Struthio camelus: one gene and its partners. The protein of the gene in region 3 interacts with the protein of the main gene of each other region in a biochemical or structural test. Links are inferred from orthologs where the notes say so. Each region holds a gene or a part of one and is shown on either strand. Other genes may lie near its edges.

Region 1 (7,315 bases), on a different chromosome or scaffold from region 3:
GCTTCCCGAGCTCCCGGCAGCCTCCCCCTGCGGCCGCCCCGGCTTGGGGCTGCCCCCTCCTGCCGCGGCTCCTTCCCCCTCGCAGCCCTTAGGCTGATTCCTACCGGCTCCCTTTTACTTAATCAGTCTATCGTTACTACTCGATTAGCAATTAATAATTCTTTGCGTGGCGTTGCATCAAGCATTTGACGAGGTCCTTGGCCTTCAAAGCAGCTCCTGCAGTCGGCGGGAAGAGCTTCCACGCACCCACCCCCGGCGTCACCCCCAGTTTCCTTCTCGCCCCCGGGGCGTTCGTTACCCTTGCGCTGGGCCGAGAGCTTTGCAAACTGCAGCGCTAACGAGCTCAGCAGCCGCCGGGCCCGTTAGCGCCTCAGCCCCCGGGGCCGCAGGGCTGCTGCACCCTCCCGCTGGCGTCGCGCTCTCTTTTCCGGCAGGGCCCGTCCCCTGCAGAGCGACTCGTCTGAGGGCTGGGGGGGGTCGGACCCCCGCGCCCCTGGGCTCTGCTTTCTCCTGCATCAGGGCTGTGCTCTAAACCCCAGTCGCTCCTCGGGGGCCCCTCGGCAGCTCGCCCCTCGACAGCGGGGACCCCCCCCCCGGACCTCGAGCATCCCCCAGTTTGCACGGTTTGGGCGCCGGGGCCGCCGGGCAGCAGTGCCGCACGCCGCAGGAAGCGCCCGGGCGCTGCAAACCGCCCGGGAGGCTCGCGCCCTCCCGCCGCGGCCGAGCGCGGCACGAAGCCGGGGGTCCCGGCAGCCAAAGGGGGAGAGGGGGCCATCCCGCCGGAGCGACGATGCCCGCCGGCGCTGCTAACACCGACGCTACCTTCTCCTTATTTTTCCCTTCCCCAGAGTGCCACCCTTTAAAAACGCGTCTCTGCTTTTCACAAAAGCGTCCATTTAACTTGGCCGCCACGCGGGCTGGCGGCTGGAGGGCAGCGGGACGCGACCCTCGAGCGGTTTCGCTTGCATGTGCGTAACCGCACGGGGCTGGGGGGGAGCAGCCAGCCGGGGCGTGGGAACCGGGGGGGTCCCCAGGGTGGCACCGGCCCCAGCACCCGCCGCCGGAGCCGCTGCCTCGCTGCCACGTCAGCGCCCGGGGCGCGGGCTGTATTTTTTGACATTTTTGCCTGTCTTCCCCTCTCCGGGCCGGGGCGGCTGCGCCGCGGGCTGTTTTTGAAGACGGCGGACATCCTCCCTCGCCCCCGCGATGGAGAAGCACAAGGGGGTTCGGCGCGGCCGTGCCGCCGGGGGACGGCGCATCCGCCCCGCGGCGCGAGCTGCCCCGGCAGCCGGCACGGAGAGGGTGGGCGCGCGAGCCCCGCCGTGCCCTCCAGCGCTGCTCGGGCGCCTGACACCCCCCAAAACACCCGGCTGCTTTCAGCTTCCGGCTGCACCTACGTGAAGAAGCTCTTTGGTGGCGGCTAACGGCCCGGAGCCGAGCGCTCGGCCGGGCTGCGGCGGCCCGAGGAGGGCGAGGGGCCGCGGGGGCCGCTGAGCGCGGGCTCCGTCCGCTCCCGGGGCCGGCCCCGAGTGACCCAACCGGGGCAAGACCTCGGCCCCGGCGGAGGAAAAGCCGTGCGACCTCGCAAGCCTGCAAGCAGCCCTGCGAGCTGCGAGCGCTGACACGCTCACCGAAGGCAAACAGTGCCAAGAGGTGTTTTTTCCTTTGTGCAAGAAGCCGGGGAAGGGAGGGAGGTGCGTGCTGGTGCTGTGTGTAATTTTTCTTTTTTATGTACTCAAGCCACAGAGTAATTTCCACCAAACAACCGTTTCACCTGCTCAGCGTGAGGGGCATGCCGTGTCGCGGGGCGTTTGAAGTCAGGTTTTGCAACTGCATCGGTGTAACTGAATTTCTCGTGTCAAGGCTGCGTGCGAGTGATGTGTGTAGGCGCCCTTGCCCCGCGCCGGGGCCCGGCTCTGGGGCGCAGGGCTGCGCCTGCCGGCCTGCGGGCGCCTGCACCCGCTCGCGGGTGCGTGCAGGGGCCCACGCATGCCTGCATGTGCCCACACATGGGTGTGGGTGCCCACGCGTGTATGTGCCCCTACATGCATGCAGGTGCCCACGCATGCGTGCAGGCACCGCTCCCTGGGTTTGCTTGCCGGCGTGTCCGCCCGTGTGCAACCGGTTCTGGAGGAGCTGCCATGTGCCAGCCCGGATGCCATGTTTCTGTGCGCACGCTTCTTCGGCCAGGCCGGCGTTGGTGCCTTTGCCAGCACGCGCGTGGCTGAACGCGAAGCCTGGCGAGGGCTGGCGGCTGGGCTGACCCCCTCCCTCCGCTCCCCAAGGGTCCCCAGCGCTCCCCGGGCCGCCTCGGGCCGCTCTCGCTGGCGGCCGGGCGGTGGCAGCGGCGAAGGCGCTGCTCGCAGCCCTGAGCGTGGGCGGCCGCGTCGCTCGGCCCCGAGTGCCACCGGGTGCCCCAGCGCCGCCGGGTGCCCCAGCGCCGCCGAGCCTTGCAGAGATGCCGGTGACCCGAGCACTTGCCCCTTCCTGCCCTTGTGGCACGGCAATGTTTGCACCTAAAGCAGCCGCATCTCAGCGCCCAAAACCAGCCGGGTTTCACCAGGTGACGGGCACCGAAACCCAGCCGGTGCCTAACGGCTGCCACCCACGGCCGGGGAGCCCTGGCAGGGGGGCTCGGGGCCGCCCCGGGAACGGCCTCTCCTCGGCCCCGGGCCCGGCGCGACCGCCCAGGCGCCGTGTCTGAGCCTGCGCCCGGCCGCGGCGCCCGCCGGCTCCCTCCCGGGACGTCGCTCCCACCCCATCTCCATCCCGCCCGGGTGACTTTGGAGAGCGCGAAGGGACCCCCTCCACCCCGGCCGGGCTCCCGCGGGGTCCCCAGCTCCCGGGCCGGCGCAACCCCTCCGCGGGCGCCCCGGGCACCCGGTACCTGTCGGCAGCGAGGCGAGGACCGGCCGCGCTCAGATTTCCATGGCCCGGCAGCGGGAGCGAAGGCGCCGTGCCCGCTCACGCCCTGCTCTCCATCCTCGGGCAGACGGTGCCGGGCGAGGAGGCGAGAGCCTGGGGCGCGCGCTCGCCGCCGCCGCCGCTCACGCTCGCTCGCTCGCCGCCTTCCCTGGTTTCCTGCCTCATGAGCAAACTCTAGAGAAGCTGGTTCACAGCTCGCGCACGACCGCAAGTGCTGGCGACCAACCCCAGGGGCTTCCTGCCAGCCGGGCCGGGCTGCGCAGCGGCGCCCGGGCTCCCACCCGCCGGCACCGGGTGCCCCCCGCGCTCACCCCGGGTGGATGCACCCAGCCCACCCGCGTGAACGCGGCAGCCCGGGGAAGGGGGGGACCCAGCGTGGGGCCCCACGGCGTCGGGAGCGGGCAGCGAACGACGCGAGACGGGGATGCTCGGGGCGACCGGCGAGGGCTGGGACGGAGCCGGCAGGGCCGCCCCCGCCAGGACCCCGGCCGGAGGGGGAGCGGGGGCTTGCGTGGGGTGGGGGACATGCTGCAAGGGGCTGGGGCGGCCAGGATTTTATTATGCTCCCCGGATCGTCCCCCGGCGCCACGAGAGCCCCCGGGCGGAGGGCGGCAGCCCCCCTGCAGCCGCACCGGGAGCTGCGGGGACGCCAGGCCGGGGCCGGCGCGGGCTGGGGGCAGCTCGCCTGCAGGGCTGCGCCACGCCGCCAGCCCCCTGTTTTTGGAGAGCGCTCCGAGCAGAGCGACCGCAAAGCTATTGTCTTGGCTTTCGCGCTCGGAGGCAAAGCCACAGGTCGGTGCCGGCTGCTGCGCGGAGGCAGGGGCAGGAAGCCCAGCCCGCGCCGGGGGGCCGCGGCAGGCGCTGGCGGCGGCTCGAGGGCCCAGCCCGGCCGGCACGGTGCCCGGGGCCGGCCAGCAGCCCCACGCGGCGAGAGGCCACGGGAAGAGACGCGGCGGGAAAGAGGAGAGGGCCGGGGGCGCTCGCCCTCGGCACGGCGGCCGCCGCCGGCTCGGCCTCGACGCGGTTCCGGCATCGCTTCCTGGCGCAGGCGCCCGCGGCCCCGGGCCCCGCCGGGCACGCGTCCAGCCCTGCTCCGCCGGCATCACGGGAGCGCTGCGGCTGCTCCCCGCCGCGTCCTGCTGCAGTCCTGGGAACAGGAAACGGCGGCCGGAAACGGCGCCCGGGGGGCCCGCTGCTTGCCGAGGGCCGGCGCCGGGCACCGGGGCTGCTCGGCCCCCGGCGCCTCCCGGCCTCGGCCGCGGGCTCCAGCTGAGCCGCGACCCGGCAGCGACGGGGCATCTCCCGCAGCCGCTCGGCCCGAGCGCTGCCAGGATGCTGGAGAGGGCACCTGCCGCCGCGCGGCACAGACCCGGGCGGTGGGCTCCGCAAACGACATCGCCGCTCGCCCTCAGCTCCTTTATTCCCTCTCGGAGGGCTGCTTTGCACCGTGGCCCCCCGCCGCCGAGGGGCCCCCGGGGGTCCGGCGCGCTCAGCAGAGGGAGAAGCGGCGGGAGTTGATGTTCATGCGGGTGACGCCGATGTGCTTGAGCGGCGTGGAGAGCAGGAAGGCGGCCTTGGGCGGGATGTTGCAGAGCAGGTCCGAGTCCTCCTCGCAGCCCTCGAGGCCAAAGGTGGCGTCGTCCAGCATCTCCTTGTGCCGGTGGCAGGCCTGCTCCACCTTCAGCCGGTGCAGCTGCCCCCGCAGGCGCATCAGCTGCCGGGCCAGGAGCTGGTCGGCTGCCTGCATCTCCCGCTGCGCGGCGAGAGCGAGCCGTCAGGGTGCTGCCGCCGCCACCCGGGTCACCCGCCCTCGCCCCGGGCAAGGGGAGCCGGGCCACAACCCTCCGGGGGCCACGAGCGCTCCCCTCCCCGGCACTGCGCACAGGGCCCACGTACATGCATCCCCTCCCCAGCACCGTGCACGGGGGCCATGCACACGTGTGTGCACATGTTCCCCCCCAGCACCATCCAGGGGGCCCATGCACGTGTGGGTGCACATGCCTCCCCAGCACCGTGCACGGGGCCCATGCACATGCGTGTGCACATGTTCCCCCCCGGCACTGTGCACAGGGCCCATGCACATGTGGGTGCACATGTTCCCCCCCGGGACCGTGCATGGGGTCCATGCACATGTGTGTGCACATCCCCCCCCAGCACCATGCATGGGGCCCATGCACATGTGGGTGCACATCCTCCCCCAGCACCATGCATGGGGCCCATGCATGTGTGTGTACACATCCTCCCTGGTACCATGCACGGGGCCCACACACACGCATGCACGCCCCCACCGTGCACCCGTGCCCCCGGGACGGCCGCCCCTGGGGCTGCACCCGCACAGCTGTTGCGGTGACCCGCTGCAGAGGCCAGGGCGGCCGCGCCGGCCCGAGGGACGCGCCACGCTGACGCCGGGGCCGTGCCAGCGGCGGAGCAGGCGAGGCGCCGTGCGGGGCAGGCGGGCAGGGACGGGGCGCCGCGCACCCCTCGAAGCAGCCGCCCCTGCGCCAAGCCGCAGCTGGGGCGCCCCGAGCCCGGCGCAGCCCCGCGGCCGCCCCCCGCCGTCCCTCGGGACCCCCGCCCAGCTGCACTCCCCGCGGCGCCCACTCACCAGCTCCGTCCTGAGCCACTGCAGAGCCTCCTGCATGGAGGCGAAGCCGCGGAGGCGGCCGGCCGGCAGCTCCTCGGGGCGCGCCGGCACCCGCTCTGCCCCCCGTGCTTCCCCGGCCCCCTCGGGCGCCCTGCTCGGCCAGGGCTGCCCCTGCACCCGCGCTTTCCACTCCAGGTAGGAGGGCCGCCGCGTCTGCAGCTTCAGCTTGGCCGCCAGTGCCTTCACGCTGTCCAGGCTCTCCTCGTCCGAGCCGGGCTCCTCCTCGCCCAGCTCCTTGAATTTCAGCTGGCTGAAGGGCATGGCAGCGCCCGCGCGGAGCCCCAGCGCCCTGCTGCAACCCTGCTGCCGCCCCCCAAAGCCCTCGTGCAAACACCGCTGCTCCCCCCAAAGTGCTCGTGCAAACACCGCTGCACCCCAAAGCCCTTGTGCAAACACCACTGCTCCCCCCAAAGCCCTCGTGCAAACCCCGCTGCCCCCCAAAGCGCTCGTGCACGCAGGAGAGTGAGGAGCGCTGGCTGCAAGACACCCGCTCCCACCAGCTGTGCGTGAGCCGCAGCTATTTATCCACCCCTAGAACAATAAAGGTTGGGGACGCCGGTGATAATTATAACAAGCAGGAACTTTACTTATCCAGAGAATTGCGAAGGACGGGGGGGGGGTGTTTTTTTTTTGTTTCGTTTCTTTTTTAGTGTTATTGTCTCCAGCTGGGAGGAGACTCCCCACGGAGGAAGCATTAATGAGGACACCAAGGCCTGCAGGGGCGCGAATGATTTATCCTTGGGCGCTCCTGCCCTCCCGCGCTGTTATCGGCACGGGGCCGACACCGACTTCCCGCCGGGCTGGGAGCGAGGGAGGGCTGCGAGGTCCCCGAATGCCACCTCCGAGCAGAGCAAAAAAATGGGGAAGGAAAAAAAAAAACCTGCTGCTCCGTCCCGCAGCGCCGGGCTCCGCTTTCAGCACTCGGCTCAGTGCCGGGCAGGAGGGGGGTGCTCACCCCGGGCCAGGCACCCCGGGGTCTGCACCCTGGGGTGCTGCCGGGCTCACCCCGGAGGGCTTTGGGTGGCCCCGGCGCCAGCTGTGCAGCCAGCTGTGCACCGCCAGGTCGCTGCAGCCCTGGAGCTGCTGCTCGCAGCTGCGTCGCCGTTAAGGTGGAACCTGCCGGGCCGGGAGGGAGCAGCGGCCCCAGGAGCCCCGCGGGCCGGGGCTGGAGCCGGTTCGGCCTGGCCCCCCGCCACTCCCCCCTCTTCCCGGCCACCGGCTCGGCCTGGCCCCCCGCTGCCCCGCACGGGGCTCGGAGCTAGTGTGTGCACAGACACGTAGAGGGCTGCGTGGGGGTGTCGGAGGCACCACGCTGCCAATGTGCTGGCACCCCCTACGCCCGGCTTCTGCCCCTCTTCCCGGCGCAGAAGGCTCTGCGATGGCCACAGCAGCCGCAGGGCTGCTCCCTGCAGCCGGGGCCTGCAGGAATGACGGCAGCTTACGGCCGCTGCTGCCCACCTCCTGCCACCGCCTGCAGCCCCAGAAAACCTGGAGAGGTCCCCAAGGACGCTGCCTCCAGCTCCCTTTGGTCCCCCGTGCTGAAAGCCCCGTGTCCCCTTGTGCTGTTGCCCATGCTACGGTTCCCAGGGTGCCCTTGGCCCTTTTCCCGCGCTGCCCGCAGCCCCTTCCCACCCTGCTCCTGCCCCTTTTCCCGCGCTGCCCTCGGCCCCTTCCCACCCTGCTCCTGCCCCTTTTCCCGCGCTGCCCGCAGCCCCTTCCCACCCTGCTCCTGCCCCTTTTCCCGCG
Region 2 (7,419 bases), on a different chromosome or scaffold from region 3:
GCGCCGTCGGGCGGCCGAGGACCGGGCTCGCCGGGCGCCCCTTGGCCTCGCCGCCGCCCGCGGCCGCCGCGCCGCAGCGGCCCCGACGGCTCCGGCGCCGCCGCACCGGCTCTGCCCCCCGCTCCCCGCCGCTGCCCCGCGGCGGCCGCGCCCCCGGCGGGCGGCAGGGCAGGGCGGGCCCGGCGGCGGCCCGACGCGCTCAGCGCACGGATGAACGGCGGAAGGTTGGGGAAGGGGGAGGGGAGCCGGGGCCGGGCCGGTCCCCGCCGGCCGAGCACTCACCTCCGGCGGGCTCCGGTGCGCGGCCGCCGCCGCCGCGGCGCGGCGGGCAGGGGGCGAGGGCAGGGCAGCGGCGCTCAGCCCGCCGCCGCGTACTCCATGCGGCGCCGGCGGGGCCTCCGGGCTCGGCTGGGCCGGCGGCGGCGGCGGCGGCGGCGGAAGGGGAGGAGGAAACAAAGCGGCCGCCGCCGCCCCGGGGTTCCGCTGCCCGACGCGGCGCCGCGAAACGTCCGCTGCGCTGCGCTGCGCTGCGGCGCTGCCGGGCGGGCGGCGGCGCGGCCGCTGCCGCGGGGCCGAGGGGCGCGGGCTCGGCCCGGGGCGGCGCTGCCGGGGCCGGCGGGGCCTGCTGCCAGGAAGCGACGCCCGGAATCGGTGCGCCCGGAGCAGCGCGCCTGCGCCGCGCCGCCACGGCCCGACCCCGCCGCCGCCCGCCGCCCGCCGCCCGCCGCCCGCCGCCCGCCGCCGCCGCCGCCGCCGCCGCCCGGGCAGCGCGGCCGCGCCACCTGCCGGGCCACGAGCGGAGCCGCGGAGCGCGGCGGCGGGGGGGGGGTGAGGGGGCGGCCGGGCCCGCGCACACGCCGCCCTTCCCGGCAGCGCACGACGCTGCTTGGGCTTCCTGACCGGCTCCGGGCGGCTCCGTAGCGTCTCCTGGGCACTTCCCTGCCGTTTCCCTCCTTGCACGGGCCGTGCGCGCCTCGTCACTTACTGGCTCCAGCCGCGCTCTAGCTCTGCAAGTGGCCTGCGCTGATTTCGCAAACGCCGAGCGGGTGCCCACCAGCCCGAACCCGGCACCCCCAGCGCGCCCCAGCGCGCGCGGCTCGCTGCAGCTCCCCGGCCCTGGCACCCGCCGCACAGCCTGTCTGCAGGGTCGCCCGGGGTCAAACGCGGCTGGACCCCGGCTCAGGCCGCTCGCTGCCTTTGGAGGGGACGGGGCACGGGCGGCGCGTCTCGGGGAGGAGGCCGCGAAACGCTGCGGACGCCCGGCCTGGCTGCGCGGTGGGTGAGGGTGGGGGGAGCAGGCCCATCATCCCGCTCCACGCGCCAGACTCCAAATCGCGAGAACCGTGCCAAAATTAGGCCGGCGCCTCCAGGCAGCAGCTGCAGGTGGGAGCTGCAAAGACCCTGGAAAACAGGCTTAAAAAGCCCGACTCCCTTTTGGCTTGGCCCTGAGAAGCTGCCGGCGGTGACAGGAGACGGGGGTCCCTGGGGGACGGGCAGGGCTCGGCGCAGCGGGCAGCCCTAGGCGGGCGGCGGGAGCCTCGCGGTGCGGCGCTTTCCTCCGCAGCCGGGAGGCAATGCTGCGCCCCGCCAGGCCACGGCTCTCCCGGCGCTTCTCCCACGAGGCTCGTTTACCGCCGTCCCTCCCTCCGGCCAAAGCGCCCCATCCAGCGACGAGGCGTTCGCAGACTAAATCATGCCTCGCAGGCTCAATTAGAAAGAAAAAGCGCTTGTCACTTCCTGCCTCGTATCGCAAAACGCCGCGGCCATGTAGGGCAAAGCAGGAAGCGCCGGCGCGCGCCTCTCTTCGGTTTTTTGCTTGCTCTCGTTTCTTTCCTTGCTTCGGGATCGTCCCGCCCCGACGCTGGCGACCGCAAGTCAGCGGGCTGCAAGCGTGCTTCGCCAGTTGCCATCCAATCGCTTTACAAACCGGCGCGGCTCCCTGCTCGCCGCTCGGCCTGGGGGACGCTTCCCGGCGCCTGCCGCCCCGAGCGGCCCCCGGGGCCCGCCTGCCCTGCCAGCCCGGCAGGACCCGCGCCAGCCGCTCTGAATAATGCCATTGTGCGGGAAGGGGTGGCCTTGGACTTCCCTGCACGGAGCGCTCTCCTCCCCGCTTCGCCCCGGGGCTGTTAGGCAGGGGGTGCAGGGACCCTGCCCGCCCTCGCCTCCGCCCCTCTCCGCTGAGATAGGGGCTGAGCGCCGCTCCGAAAACAGCCCCGCGGCCCGGCCCTGCGCGGCTGCCGGGGGGGGATATCTCCCTGCCGCTCGCACGCGACCTCCCCGTCCATCGGACGGTCTCTCCTGCCTGGCCCGGCGGTGAGGATGAGCGCGAGCAGAGCAAGCAGAGAAGGAAGAAAGAAAAGAGATAACAAAGCGATGGAGACGTCCCGCGAAGGGGGCGAGGGGACCGCAGGGATGCGGGAGGAAAGGCAACAGGGAGGCTGGAGATGCCGGTACCCAGGGAGCGGATTGTAAAGCCCCGTTCACTTCTGGAGGGCGCTTTCCTGTGCACGGTGTGCGGGAAAGAGCCTGCGACCCGGTTTCGCCGGGTGTCGGGTGAGCCCGTGCCGGTCGTGCAGACCTGACTCCCGCCAGGCCCTGAGCCCCGTGCGAGGAGCTGGCGCATCGCCCCGTGGTTCGCAGGATGCACCCCCCGGAGAGGGGCAGGGAAGGCCCCGCCAGCAGCAGGTCGGCTTGCTTCCCCGCTCGGCCTCACGCAGCTACCAAGCGGAGCAGCCCTGGGAGGAAGTGAAACCAGCTCGTGCATCTGTTTGCACCAGAAATGCACCCACAGATGCAGACACAAACCCACGCACGCACCCATAGAAATGCACCCACCCAAGCTTGCGTGCCCATAAACGCAGGGCCGAGCGTGCGCGCGCCAGCACCCCTCCGCGCCCTCACGCACTGGCAAACGCAGCCCAACGCGGGCACCTGCGCGGACGTACCTGCCCGAGAGGTGCGTGCCCGTGTGCGCACGCAGGCGTCCGGATGCGCGCACACATCCGCGGTGCACGCAGAGCCGCAGCATCACCACTCGCTCATCGGGGAAAAATGCTTTGCCTAGGTGCCCAGGCTGGCCCGGTCTGGAGGGGGCGGGCAGGGAGAATGGGGATGAGGCTCGGGATTTTCCCTTGTGTGGGGGCTGCAAGGAGTTTTGGGGGGCAGATTTCTCTTGCAATAGTAACTGCTGTGCAGAAGCACCTTTCCGGGCACAGCCCCGCACGCGGCCTGCCGGCTCGGGGCATCCCTTCTCCCGGGCCCTGCCTCTCTTCTGGGAAGCAGCACTGGGACTTTGGGACCTTGGCTCCTGAAGGAAAACACAAAATGTGAACCCGGCCCGGTGGGGAACTGTGCAGGTGGCTCCAGGCTTTTGCAATCCGTCAGACCTAGAAGGAGGCCTGGAGAAATAGCCCCACGACCGCGTTGTCCTGCCGTGCTGGTTTTAGGATGGTGATCAGCAGCCCCTGCTGTGTCCTTCTCCCTTTCCTTCTCTCCTCCTTGATGGTGAATGGACACAAACAGCCTCCTCCTCTTTGGGTTTGTCTCGTTCGCTCGTGGGCTCTGCTGCACCTCCTGGCTTATTGCGCGACGGCCAACAACCTCGCGTGTCCAGAGGTCCTTGGAAGACGGCTCTTGGGCCGAGGTGAGCAGCCCAGCGGCCCCACCGGGGTTCAGAGGAGACCTGCGGCTGCCCAAGCACACAGACCCTTGTGCCCCGGGCTACGTCGTGCAACTCCCCAGTGTGCTGTCGGACTGCCGTGTTGGGCTGATTTCCGTTCCTGCTGGAAGTGTTGATCTCCTACCTGGCAGGAGGTCCCAGGACCTGAGTGGGTTCAAAACTGATCCGGCTGGGGAAAGGCCAGATTTGCTTTAAGCTGGGTGAAGTCACCGGTCCCAGCGACTGCAAGCCATGAATGCTGGGGCTGCTGGAAGGACGGAAGGAAAGGGAGGACGTACGGCCAAGTTTAGAGGGGAAGGTGGAGAAAGCGGGACTACGGGGACAGTAGAAATGCCACAGTGCAAAGGAAGGGTGAGGGGAACGATGCTCGGGACACAGCTCGGGACCCCACCTTCAATAGTCTGGGAAAGGGTCCCTGCCCGTGCCACGGCCTGGCCTGGGCCGCTGCGTCGGAGCCACCCTGTTTGGAGGGCTGGATTTGGAGAAGACGTGGGCAGCCACCTCCTTGCTTTGCACCAGGAGAGGGGGCCCTTCAGCTGGTGGGAATCAGCCTGCAGGAAAAGGGAAAGTAAAGAAAGGAAAAACTGCGCAGCAGCGCCTGTTGTCGCTGGGGGTCCAGCCGAGGAGGAGCCGAACTTCCTCGCAGGGCAGAGAGCCAAGGCCAGGCTTTTGGCGGAGCTGAGTCGGCAGGATGGCGAGGAGGCGCAGGGCTGCTCTCGGCCGCGCTTCCGGGGAAAGGAGGACGAGAAGGAGGGACGAGGCCCGGGAGACGCTGCGCTCTGCTGGGATGTGGCAGATCTGGCTTGCGCAGGCCAGATCAGTGGTCCTGAGCTCCCTCGTCCGGCCCAGCGGGAGTGGGCTGGGGGCCAAGGGGGGCTTCTGACCCTTCCCCAACCGATGTTCCCGGTGCCACCAGGAAGACAAGCAGTATCTCACCCACAGCTTGCCCCGAGGCACCTCGTCCGTAACCCCCTGGATCTTGCTTCTTTTGGCCCGTAAACACCTCCTTCGTCCCTGCAGCAGCGATTCCCGTCCTGAGAATAAAATCCTGACCGTGTAATATTCCCACGCCAGGCCAGGAGGGACCCTGGGCACCCGTCCACGGTGAGTCACCCGCCGTAGCGATCCGGGATGCGGGCCGGCAGGAAAGTGATGCTGAAGGCTTTGCCTTTGTCCTGGAGGAAGGGATGCAAGAGCCAGAGTCCTCTGCCCCGTCTCCCCGATGAGACCTGGTGCGAGAGGAGCAGCACGTGGCAGCCTGCGGGCGCTGCGAAGGCTGGTTTTACGCAAACGGCCCGGCAGGTTCGCCCAGGCCCCTCCGGGGAACGCGCCGGTGCCAGACCAGCTCGGCGTGGGGTGGCATCTCAGCGACCGCGTGCTGGCAGCCAAGCGCTGGACGCTTTGGGGAGTGCTTAAGCGTCTAAAACAGGGGATAGACCTGAAGCCAGGTTTCCTAAAGGAGCGAAGCGTGGGCAGTCACCGATCCTGCGGATCTGTCTCGTCTCTGGATCTCCTGGCTGGTTTTAGCCCTGGCTGGCAGTGGCGCTTGTGCCTCCAGGGCTTTCGGACAGTGCAGCTTGGGCAAGAGCCGGTATCCAGAGACAGGAGAGCCCCGCAGACGAGAAGGTTGCTGTATTGGCTGTACTAGACAGCTGAGAATCCACACTCATGGGCATGAACTTCCTAGGGAAAGCCCGAGTGAAGGATCCCAGCTTCCTGGACCCTGGGGAATTCACCTGCGAGCTGATGCCGCGGGAGGGCGTTCGCGTCACGAACACGAGAGACGGGGACGCAGATGCTCCAGAAGCGCCCAAGGGACTTGGGAACCGGCGTCCGCCTCGCGGCTCTCGCCGTGCCGGCCCCGGAGCCCTCTCCGGTGCCGAGGGCAGCCTCGTTTCGAAGCCTCGCCAGCGGAGCCGTCATTTTGAGGACGATTTTAATTAAAGCAGGGAGGGGAGCAAGTGGGGATATTGCCTCTCGGCACGTCGCTCTTCTCCTGAGGGCGATCGGGCCAGACTGCGCTCTGCCCGCGTCCCTCCAGCACCGGAGAGATCGGTACCCGGCCCTCTTCGTTTGCTAGTAAAATCTGGGCTCTGATTTCATGTGTGTCCCAAATTACCTCTTCGCTGCCCCCGTGCTGCCCGTTTTTGGCCCGTGCCCGATGCGGGGCACGCTGCAGGGCAGAGCGTTGTTCCCTGCACCCATCCCAGGGCTTTTTGGCTCGCGCTGCCTCTGCTCGCTGGACCAGGCTCTGCGGGGACGCCCGCGCTCCTGGCGGTGCAGGCGTCCCCCCGGGCTGCTCCCCGCTGCCTCCGTCGTCCACGGATGCGTGCATGCATGGCTGCGTGGGGCGCGGGCGGGAGGGGGCCGGCTCGCAGTGCCAGGCAGCCAGAGGAAAGGCAGGTTTCGGGGCAGTTCCCAGGAGCCCAGAGCTCTCCTCAGACAGCCCCTTGCGTGCGGGGAGCGGCTATCTTGCCATCTCTTTCTTCCCGTCTTAACCTGGGGCCAAACTCCATCCTTGCTTGCTTTCATGTTTTCTGAGGAACATGGTGCTTAATTGTGCCTCTAATGACTTGGCGCAATCAATTAGCCAAAACACCCTCTCCTTTCCAGAGGGAAGAGGGAGGAGGGATGGGAGGAGGATAGCTCAGGACTGAGTTGGGAGCTCTCAAGAATTAGTAATTCCTGCCAAGCGTGAGGAATAATGGGGGGATGAGATCCAAGCCAAAGTGCTTGGGGATGCGAGGGGTGTGGGCGGGCAGTGGTACCCGGGTGGTACCCGGGGGACAGAGCAGTGGGCACCAAATCCAGCGGGGATGATGTGGGGAACGGAGATGCCAGCTTGCATCCGAATCCTGCTTCCCCAGCGCTGGAGTATGTGGGCCTGGGGCTCTGGGCTGAGGCCCTCGCAGCTTTAGCGGGCTCAACTCGGCCGGCTCGAGCTCTCCCCTGTCTGTGGGTCCAGCCTGGGCAGCGCTGAGGACCAGGCGCCTGCTCCAACCCTGCTCCGAGAGAAACTGCCCTGGGGAGGCTGCAGCGGCTCCGGCACCCAGAGACTGCTCCGTGCCGGAGCAGTCCTCCTTGGGATCTCGCTGGCGTGCCCGAAAGCGTCGCTGACCCCTGCCGCGCTCACCGCCACGGGGGCACCGCGTGAACACCCCTTTAGGTGCTGCAGGGCCCCACCAGCCAGGTGAGACCCTGCGGTTTTATCGGTGGCCCGAGGGAGGAGGGAGCACTTTGCATGGGAGCCCAGGAGGAGCGTCGCAGCATCAGTCTGGATCAGGATAAGCGGCTAAGGGGGGGGCGACACAGAAAGCAGGTGACACCCCCTTCCGCACCAAGGAAACCTGTTGAAGGCCCCAGATAGGTTTCAGCTGTATCTCCAACAGCACTTGGGAGACTGAACTCAATTTCTTTTTTTTCTTTTCCTTGGCAGAAACGTGCAGCTTTTGGTAGTTTTTACAGGCATCCAAGGGTTAATCCCGGAGGGCAGATGATATCTGATAGCAGATCTGGGGAGGGGGGGATAAACAGACAGCAAAATGGAAGAGGGAGCCAACATCAGGATGATGGAGCTAGGTTAGAAACACAGGATGTGCTTTTAACCAGGCGGGTCGTTAAATGTTGGAGCAACCCCCCTGGGGAGGTGGTGGGAATGCCAAAAGTTGGCATCCAGGGAGGAAGGACTGTTCTGCAGGTGGCTCCTCTAGCCTGGGTCCCGGCTGAGCCCAGGAGTTATA
Region 3 (7,451 bases):
GAGGGTAGAGGAGGAACTCGAATTATTGGGCTAATGGAAAAAAAAAAAAGTACTGCAAATCCTGCAAGCATTCCCCCCCCCCTTTTTTTTTAAAATAAGAACAAAGTTTTATTTTGCAAAGATAGGCAATGATGCATTGCATCAGATATGTTAGCATAACCTTTTTGATTAGGAAGTCAGCCTAGATAATAGAAGGCATTAGGGTATCAACCTTGCACTAAAGATTTTAAAAGGCACACACCTGCCAACTAAGGATTTTCATAAAGCTAGCTATTCTGTTTAGGTGGAAATGAAAGACTAAACAATATTGCACAAAACAGTGATGCGTTTAATGGGATATTTCAGTAGTACAAATGTTTACAAAGGCAGATGCAACTCCAGGATTTGTTTTTTTGTGGACAATTCTATCCGCTTTCAAATACCCCAAAGACAACTACTCACCACTTATTAACAGTATAATTAGATGGATATGAGTCTTATTTAGAGGATTTACATAATAAAAAGTCTTTGCACAGGTTCTAGGTATTCCGGACTTTTATTTTTTAAATGTAGTTTGGAGTTCTCAAAAGTGGTTTGGGTATTGCAGGGAATTTGAGATATTCTGTCAGATGCCTGGGCTTGTGGTGGGAATCCAACAATCTTAAAATTTGTCCTGCTGGGTTTTCAAAATCACTAGGTAATTTAGGCTCTTAGACACTAATCATAACGTCAAAACAAATCCCAAAGCACACTCAACACTGACTAGCAAGCGCCTGAAAATTATTCCTTCCATAAAACCAAAGCTTACCCCACCTTTTCCTAGTGTTGCCCCTCCAGTAACAAACTCCTCCCTAAAAGACTGAGCAGTTAGTTCACAGCTACTAGGCAAAGTAATCTACAGAGCAAAGATGAAGTATAAAAGTCCTATCACCCTTATAGGAAAAAAATCAACCTCTAGGAGCCTTCTGCTCCTACCTTTTCCCCCTCTTGTATATATAGAAAAAGGTGTCCTGAAAGCCAAAATCAAACCTACAGGGAAAATTTTACAGATGGGTCATATCTGTAGAGGTGCGGTACAAAATGGAAAGACAGCGTCTCAAATAAGCATGCACCAAACGACATGGTGAAACCATGGTTTGTAATGTCGAGTCCTGGACACCGCAGAATCAGACTGCTAATTGCTTTAAGTGTGCTAGAGAGGAGTTAGACGATTTCATTTCTTTAAGGCTCTTCTGTTTAGCAGCAACACATAGCAAGAAACTGGATCAAGCCAGACTACTGTCTGTAGACAGAAAAAATAACTATTGTTTGAAATAAAACACTGCTACCCTTCTTTCTGTCTTCTGGTCCTTGCTGTCAGCTAATGCAGCCACTGACTGGAGGTGACTGCAAAAGCAGACCGTAACCCGCCCTCCCTGAGAAAAAGGGAGCAGTAGGAAGCCATAGGAAAGACTTATAAAATGAAAAGTAGGACAGCAGATTAAAAAAAAGTCAGGAAAAATGAGAGAAAGTGTTTCTCTTTTCCTTTACAGCACAGCATTCACTTGTTTTCTGGTAACATCCAACCAGATTTATTGAGTGATGGCTCTCTTCAGAGACTTTGAAGGACAAGACAACGAATGTTCAGACCTCATACACTCTTTTAGTTGGTTATCAACTAAAGGCAGATAATTTTCTTGCTTACATCAGTATAAATCTGCAGTTACTACAATAAAGTGAAGATAGAAACAAATAAATTCAACATATGTGAGAAGCAGTTCTGGCCCTAAATGTAATTTGCTACGATTTCAGAACGTGTAAGTTATGAGCCACTTTTAGGATGAACGTTACTTAAGAGAAAAGACTTTGTATCCGCCCTGACCTATGCCAAATTCTATTAACTACCTAAACTGAAGAAAGGTACATAGATATGCAACGCTGTATGTTCTTTTCAAGAAAATCTTTTCTTCAAACATAAATCAACCAAATTCTTATTTTCGTATAAATTATTACCTCAATATTAGTTGATTTTATTGCTACTCACCACTGCAACTCTTTCACATCTAGTATGTTTTGTGAGATCAACCTCTGCAGCTAAATCTTCCTTTTTTAAAACTAAAAAAGGTCAAGTGACTTAAATTCACCAGTGGGGTAGTATAGTCAATTCAGAATTTTGAAGGCTCTTTGAAGAAGCAGTTTTTATAAACTAATTAATTATAAATGTAATTTTCCAACAGTACAAAGAAACTTAAAATGTTTCATTTTTTTCCAGTCCCACTGCAGTAAAAATCAAAGTTTGAGGAACTGTATGCAGAATCTGAGATGAAGGAGTGGCTTTAATGGATGGGAATTTTTTTTTCTTAAAGCTTTAAAGCACACAAAAACAAAAGTACTGCCTTATGAGATGAAACCAGACATAAATATTGTATTGAATAGGTTCATATAAGAGATCTAAATGTATTCTTTTTCAAATGCAATGGCAATTATTTTTTTTAAGTTGTAGTTCATACAGCACTCAGACATGACCACACGGAAGACATTTTAGCCCTGCATATTATGAGTCAGTCTTCTTGATCTAGGTTCTGACAACATTACAGACAATCGTATTCTAGTTTCTGAACTAGATGTTAGTTCTTCATTTTGCAAAGCTTTTAAATTGTTTCAATTCTACACAGAACGTTATGGGTTCAAAATTAGAAAACGAAATGTCAATTGCTACCTACCTTTGACAAAAGCATCCTGGTCCAGAAAGACAAAGCCAAACGCTAAGACTTTAAGCCACAAAAACATGGTTATTTCTGGAAATTAGGCGTATCCTTATGAAACGGCATGTGTGTGTCTCTCTCTCTAGAAAGCAAAATAAGTATTATCTCTCTGCAAAATAATTTCGAAGCGAAACTTGAATCAAAAAGGAGAATAACCGGGCACATACATTGCACTGCCTGCTTATCACAGTGAAGGAGCTGCTTCCTCTGTTACCCTAAACTAACCACTTGCAAACTTGCAATGCCATGTAGTGATGTCAGAGACAATTACTTCTTCAAAAAAAAAAAAAAAATTCTTTCAGTTTCCAGGAAGTCAAGAGGGTTTTTCTTAAGTTGCTACAGAAATGCTCAGCTTCCTTAATTCAAATGAAATTGAACGTTTTCAGCCATTTCAACTGAGGAACTGAACAAGACTTAACTTTAAAAGTCTAGATTCAACGAACAGCCATTCTTTTTCTTCATATTCAGTTTTTTACAGTGTACATTCCACTGAGTCCTTTCTTATTTATAGACTCTTCTCAAGGAGGAAAAAAAAAAAAGAAATCAATCAACATAACTATTACATTGGCAACAAGGCCAAGTACAAAACGGAATGTCACACTATTCACCTGTTCCATAAAAAAATTATAAATCCTTGGAAACTGGAATTTTTTTTCCTTCCTAGTAGTTGGTAGTGGACTATGCTAGTCCTTGAAAATTTGGGTTCCTCTCCTGGAGAACAGGCAAGATACACCAAAGATATTTCCCCCTCACTGTATGCACTGAGATAGGATGCAACTGAATGAGAAATGCCCATTACATGTGAAATTGCAAAGGCAATAATGTTGGGATTGCATCTCTTACTGGCAAGTTCAAAGTTTTTAAAAGTACCAACAGAATCCTGCCACAAGACAGATAAAGAAGGGAAAAGAGTCTATCTGTGTTATTGTTCATTCATGTCATAAATCCTTTAGAGACTTCCTAAACATTACACTGGGAAAAGTTGCACAAATTTGCATAATAATTCACATATGAAATTAGCGAATCAGACTCTCCATAAGATTAAAAATAGCTTTCTCTGGTCCAAGTTCAAGTGAAGTCCTATAACACAGACTAAAATCTTAGCTTACCTTAAACAGCATGTCTGTATAACAACTGGTTATAATAATAATTACATTACAAATGCATTCACAACAAAACTGACGTAGTGGCATCAGTGAATCTCCAGAGACCCTAGCTTTGATATACAATAACTTCATCATCCAGAAGTTGCCATGAGTTGAACCTGGACTACAGTCATATACTGTCTTCAACACTGGTATCTTAGTCCTTGCTATCCGTAGACAAAACCATAGTGTCAAAGTGTCCCATATGACGAAAATAGAGCACTGTACCCTATAGAGAATTTCACGTGAAGGTTGTCAGTCAGGTAAGTGGAGCCAAGCTCCATTTCTACCTGATCTTCCCAGGCAGTTTTACAGAGCCACTGCCTGACTTTTCAAGCCACCTTTCCAAGAAAAAAAGGCTACACAATGGACCTTTTCTGTCTGTGTGATACTTACAGAGCCTTCACTTAAATATTGCAACATATCACATGTATTATTTAATGATACACATTGCACACTCTAGCCATCACTGTAAATTGGGGTATGTTATTAATATCCCTCATTTAACAGCTGAGGAACTATAAACCATCGATTGCTAAAATTACTAACCCAAGATTACACATGAAACTCCAGGGAGGTTACAGGTACTCAAACCATATATACTGAGTTTTACTGAAGTGCTAACAAGAAAAAACTCTTTCTTTCCCAGAGCAGACCCCTCATTCAGCAAATCTATTTCCATGGCCGTGAAAGCAACATATTTTGGCATTGAGTTTAAGCATTGCCCCATATCTGAGAGAAAAAAAAATACACTTCACAGAAATTACATAGTGTCTTTGATCTTAGGTTAGCCTCAGACGTTGCAATACTTCATCTGCTTGCTATGCATCTGAAATGCAAATATCGGTGCAGCCTGTCTATTTGACATTTGTCTATTTGAACATCTGAAGAAGAAATGAAAGATATTGTGTTACTAACACATTGGTTTTTCAAAGAAACTAATCAATAAGCTGATACTGTGAATTGCCGTGTGCATTTTAGTCACGAAGTCCTTAAAACAGCTGCATACCTGGCCAAAGGAGGAGGAAGGAAGTGTGTGACAAGCAGCAAACTTTCAAGCTTTCTCCCTTCATAATTCAAGCCTTTGAAAGCAGGTAATTATCAACTACATACATGAAGCTAAAAGTTACACAACTTTTAGCAGGAAGTGCAGATTTAAGCAAAAATATAGGATCAGGCAAACGGAATCAGCGTCGTCTGCTAGCATGTTCCTTAGGCAGAAGACCCTAAATGTTGCAAGATGTAAAATGGTACGTATCAGAGACTTCAAAACTGACAGAGAAATCTTAGCTCTACTGGTAAACAAAAGAGGGCAGTTTAGCTCCTCTCAGCCATATGAGAATGATTGTTCAGAGAATGATTGTTATAGATTTGCTGAGTAAAAAAGACAGTCCATAAAAGTGGTTGCCTCAGAAACAGTAGAAGAAGATGATTTGAAAGGGAAAAATTCCTGCACGAAAAGTCGATGTAGAGCGGGCTGATGGCCAAGATATGGCCTCTTCTGTTTAACTTTTCTGGTAAGGTTTTGGTTTGGTAAGTTAAAATCATTGTACTATGAACAAGTCAAAGAATAGACTAAGAAGCAGGGAAATTTCAGTTCTAATGTGGTTCAGTTCCTTGCTGAAAATTATCCTATAAAAATGTTAGCCTGGGATTTTACACTGTTTGTCTTGTACTGAGCTCCATTTCAGTCCATTATTAATATATGACAGCTACATAGATGTATTTACACCCCATCTCATATTTCCTGTTCAGCTCAGCCAGAATGAATAGTGAATGCATTTAAGGCTATTAGAACAACATCAAGTCTTTTCCCAAGCATAAACTGCAGTCTTACTCTCAAGGATAAGCCAAAAAAGACCACCTTTTGGGGTGCAGGAGGAGATAAATTTATTCTGTTCGCATATTAAGCAATGGAGTATTAATAAAACAGACCTCTTTTCAGGCCACACCATTTATTTTTAAACAGCCAAATGATTTCATCAAGATGTAACTATGGAGGTGATACTTCCCCTGAACAAGAAAGAATTAAAGCCAGAACTGTCAATCTGTACGACTAAAGATTTTGGCAATGACGATGAAAACAGTGCAAAAACTTAACTCACCCATCTCTTTGAAAGCTTGCTTCTTTTGTAAGACACAAAGAGACTGTAAGAAGTAAATCTTTCACTGTCTGCTTCACCTATCTTGCAATACAGTAGATCTGTTAAATTGCCATAAATACGTATCTCTGTGTTCCATACAGTTACACATAGCACAAAGGGCAATCTTGTCAGAGCTGCAATAAAACTCTAAAAATATAAGTAAAGTGCTAATAATAATCAGTTTTCCTTTCAATTTATATCTGAAGCCTTTGGAAAAGATCACAAATGCATTGTAAAAGACTCTTGGATACACTGAAATCATTCGTTTCTTGTAGGCTTAACTGGAAGTTCTGTTATCAATGGTAGGTGGTGACAGAAGTATAGATAAATATTAATCTCTTAAAATTCACAGCAGTAATTATTAGCATGCATCATGGACAACAAGATGTTGTTTGTCCCCCTGTCCTTTAGCTTCATGCCAAAAATTAATAATTAAAAAAATTAATTAATAGAGAATAGAGTCCTTAAATACAGAGGAAAGAAAGGGAATTCGAGGAAGAAAGAATTTAAGCAATATGACCTTGCTGCAAATGAGTTGTAAAGAAGCAATTCACACTTCAATAAACCATAATTTTAAATGAAAATACATTCCAATAATAATCCAAAATAGATTAATTCTATATTCATTAAATCAGTTTAAAGTATTTTATGACACAAATGTTTACTATAGGACACTAATTATGCCAATTGAAAATATTTCTGTGCTGAAGCTATCATGTTTTTGGAGATAAATTAACCATCCTATTTTTTTAATTTTTTTAATTGGAATGGTAAAAGAAAAACTCACAAGAAACAACAGAAACATAACATCAGATGCATTTCAGAACTAACTTATGCAATATAGGAATATAGGCAGGCTATATTCAGTTTCAGCACTTAAAATCCACCAAAACTGGGTTTGACAGTCACAAAAAAAGTTTGATTCTGCTGCGACAATGAAAGTAAAAATCTTAGTAATCTTAGTGCATGTATTAGATACTATATGTCCAGAGCTCTATCCCTCCAGTAGATTTGTGAAACAGATATGACTTAAGGAGGGGAAAAAAAAAAGATCAAACTATTCCACAGAGAGATGCAATGAAGATGCAGTGACATCCACTATTTTTGACTTGCATTGACTTACATGTGACGCACATTTCCCACAGGAGAATAGCAATTATTGAATAAGCAGATGATGATAAGGATATGCCTTCCTCAACCTGCCTTCCATCATCATTCTCTGTCGCTCGCTCGCTCTAGTGCTCAGCTAGCTCGGATAAACACCCATGGAATTAGATATGAGGCCCTGAGCCAAGGGCTCTCCCTTAGGGAAGTATGTGTTTCGCTAGTAACTACATAGCCACTGTCCTGGGCATAGTGAGTTGAGTTTCAGGAAAAGATGAGTCTCAGCACAGAGCCCTTCAGTCCCAGCCCTGAACTGTTTGGCATCCCCATTACAG

Evidence for each region. The genes of interacting proteins can lie anywhere in the genome.
Region 1: of the proteins of PTPRC (region 3) and LCK, one has a biochemical effect on the other in vitro, tested with the Homo sapiens proteins (5 studies listed by BioGRID and IntAct, with this or other methods). The link is inferred for Struthio camelus from reciprocal best matches to the Homo sapiens genes PTPRC and LCK.
Region 2: of the proteins of PTPRC (region 3) and CSK, one has a biochemical effect on the other in vitro, tested with the Homo sapiens proteins (2 studies listed by IntAct). The link is inferred for Struthio camelus from reciprocal best matches to the Homo sapiens genes PTPRC and CSK.

The regions. Positions count from the first base shown.
Region 1 is NC_090964.1:8,587,726-8,595,040, reverse strand, and holds the start of LCK (tyrosine-protein kinase Lck), read right to left. Parts: upstream 3,018-7,315; 5' UTR 2,888-3,017; intron 1-2,887. Other genes in the region: protein FAM167B, read right to left, coding at 4,415-4,678, 5,531-5,830; myotubularin-related protein 9-like, read left to right, coding at 6,888-7,315. UniProt on the Homo sapiens protein: Non-receptor tyrosine-protein kinase that plays an essential role in the selection and maturation of developing T-cells in the thymus and in the function of mature T-cells. Plays a key role in T-cell antigen receptor (TCR)-linked signal transduction pathways.
Region 2 is NC_090953.1:23,421,850-23,429,268, forward strand, and holds the start of CSK (tyrosine-protein kinase CSK), read right to left. Parts: upstream 3,018-7,419; 5' UTR 3,003-3,017; coding exon 2,946-3,002; intron 2,639-2,945; exon of another isoform or gene 2,624-2,638; coding exon of another isoform or gene 2,579-2,623; intron 1,685-2,578; exon of another isoform or gene 1,633-1,684; intron 427-1,632; exon of another isoform or gene 283-426; intron 1-282. UniProt on the Homo sapiens protein: Non-receptor tyrosine-protein kinase that plays an important role in the regulation of cell growth, differentiation, migration and immune response.
Region 3 is NC_090949.1:12,353,962-12,361,412, reverse strand, and holds the start of PTPRC (receptor-type tyrosine-protein phosphatase C), read right to left. Parts: upstream 3,010-7,451; 5' UTR 2,891-3,009; intron 2,806-2,890; 5' UTR 2,749-2,805; coding exon 2,682-2,748; intron 1-2,681. UniProt on the Homo sapiens protein: Protein tyrosine-protein phosphatase required for T-cell activation through the antigen receptor. Acts as a positive regulator of T-cell coactivation upon binding to DPP4.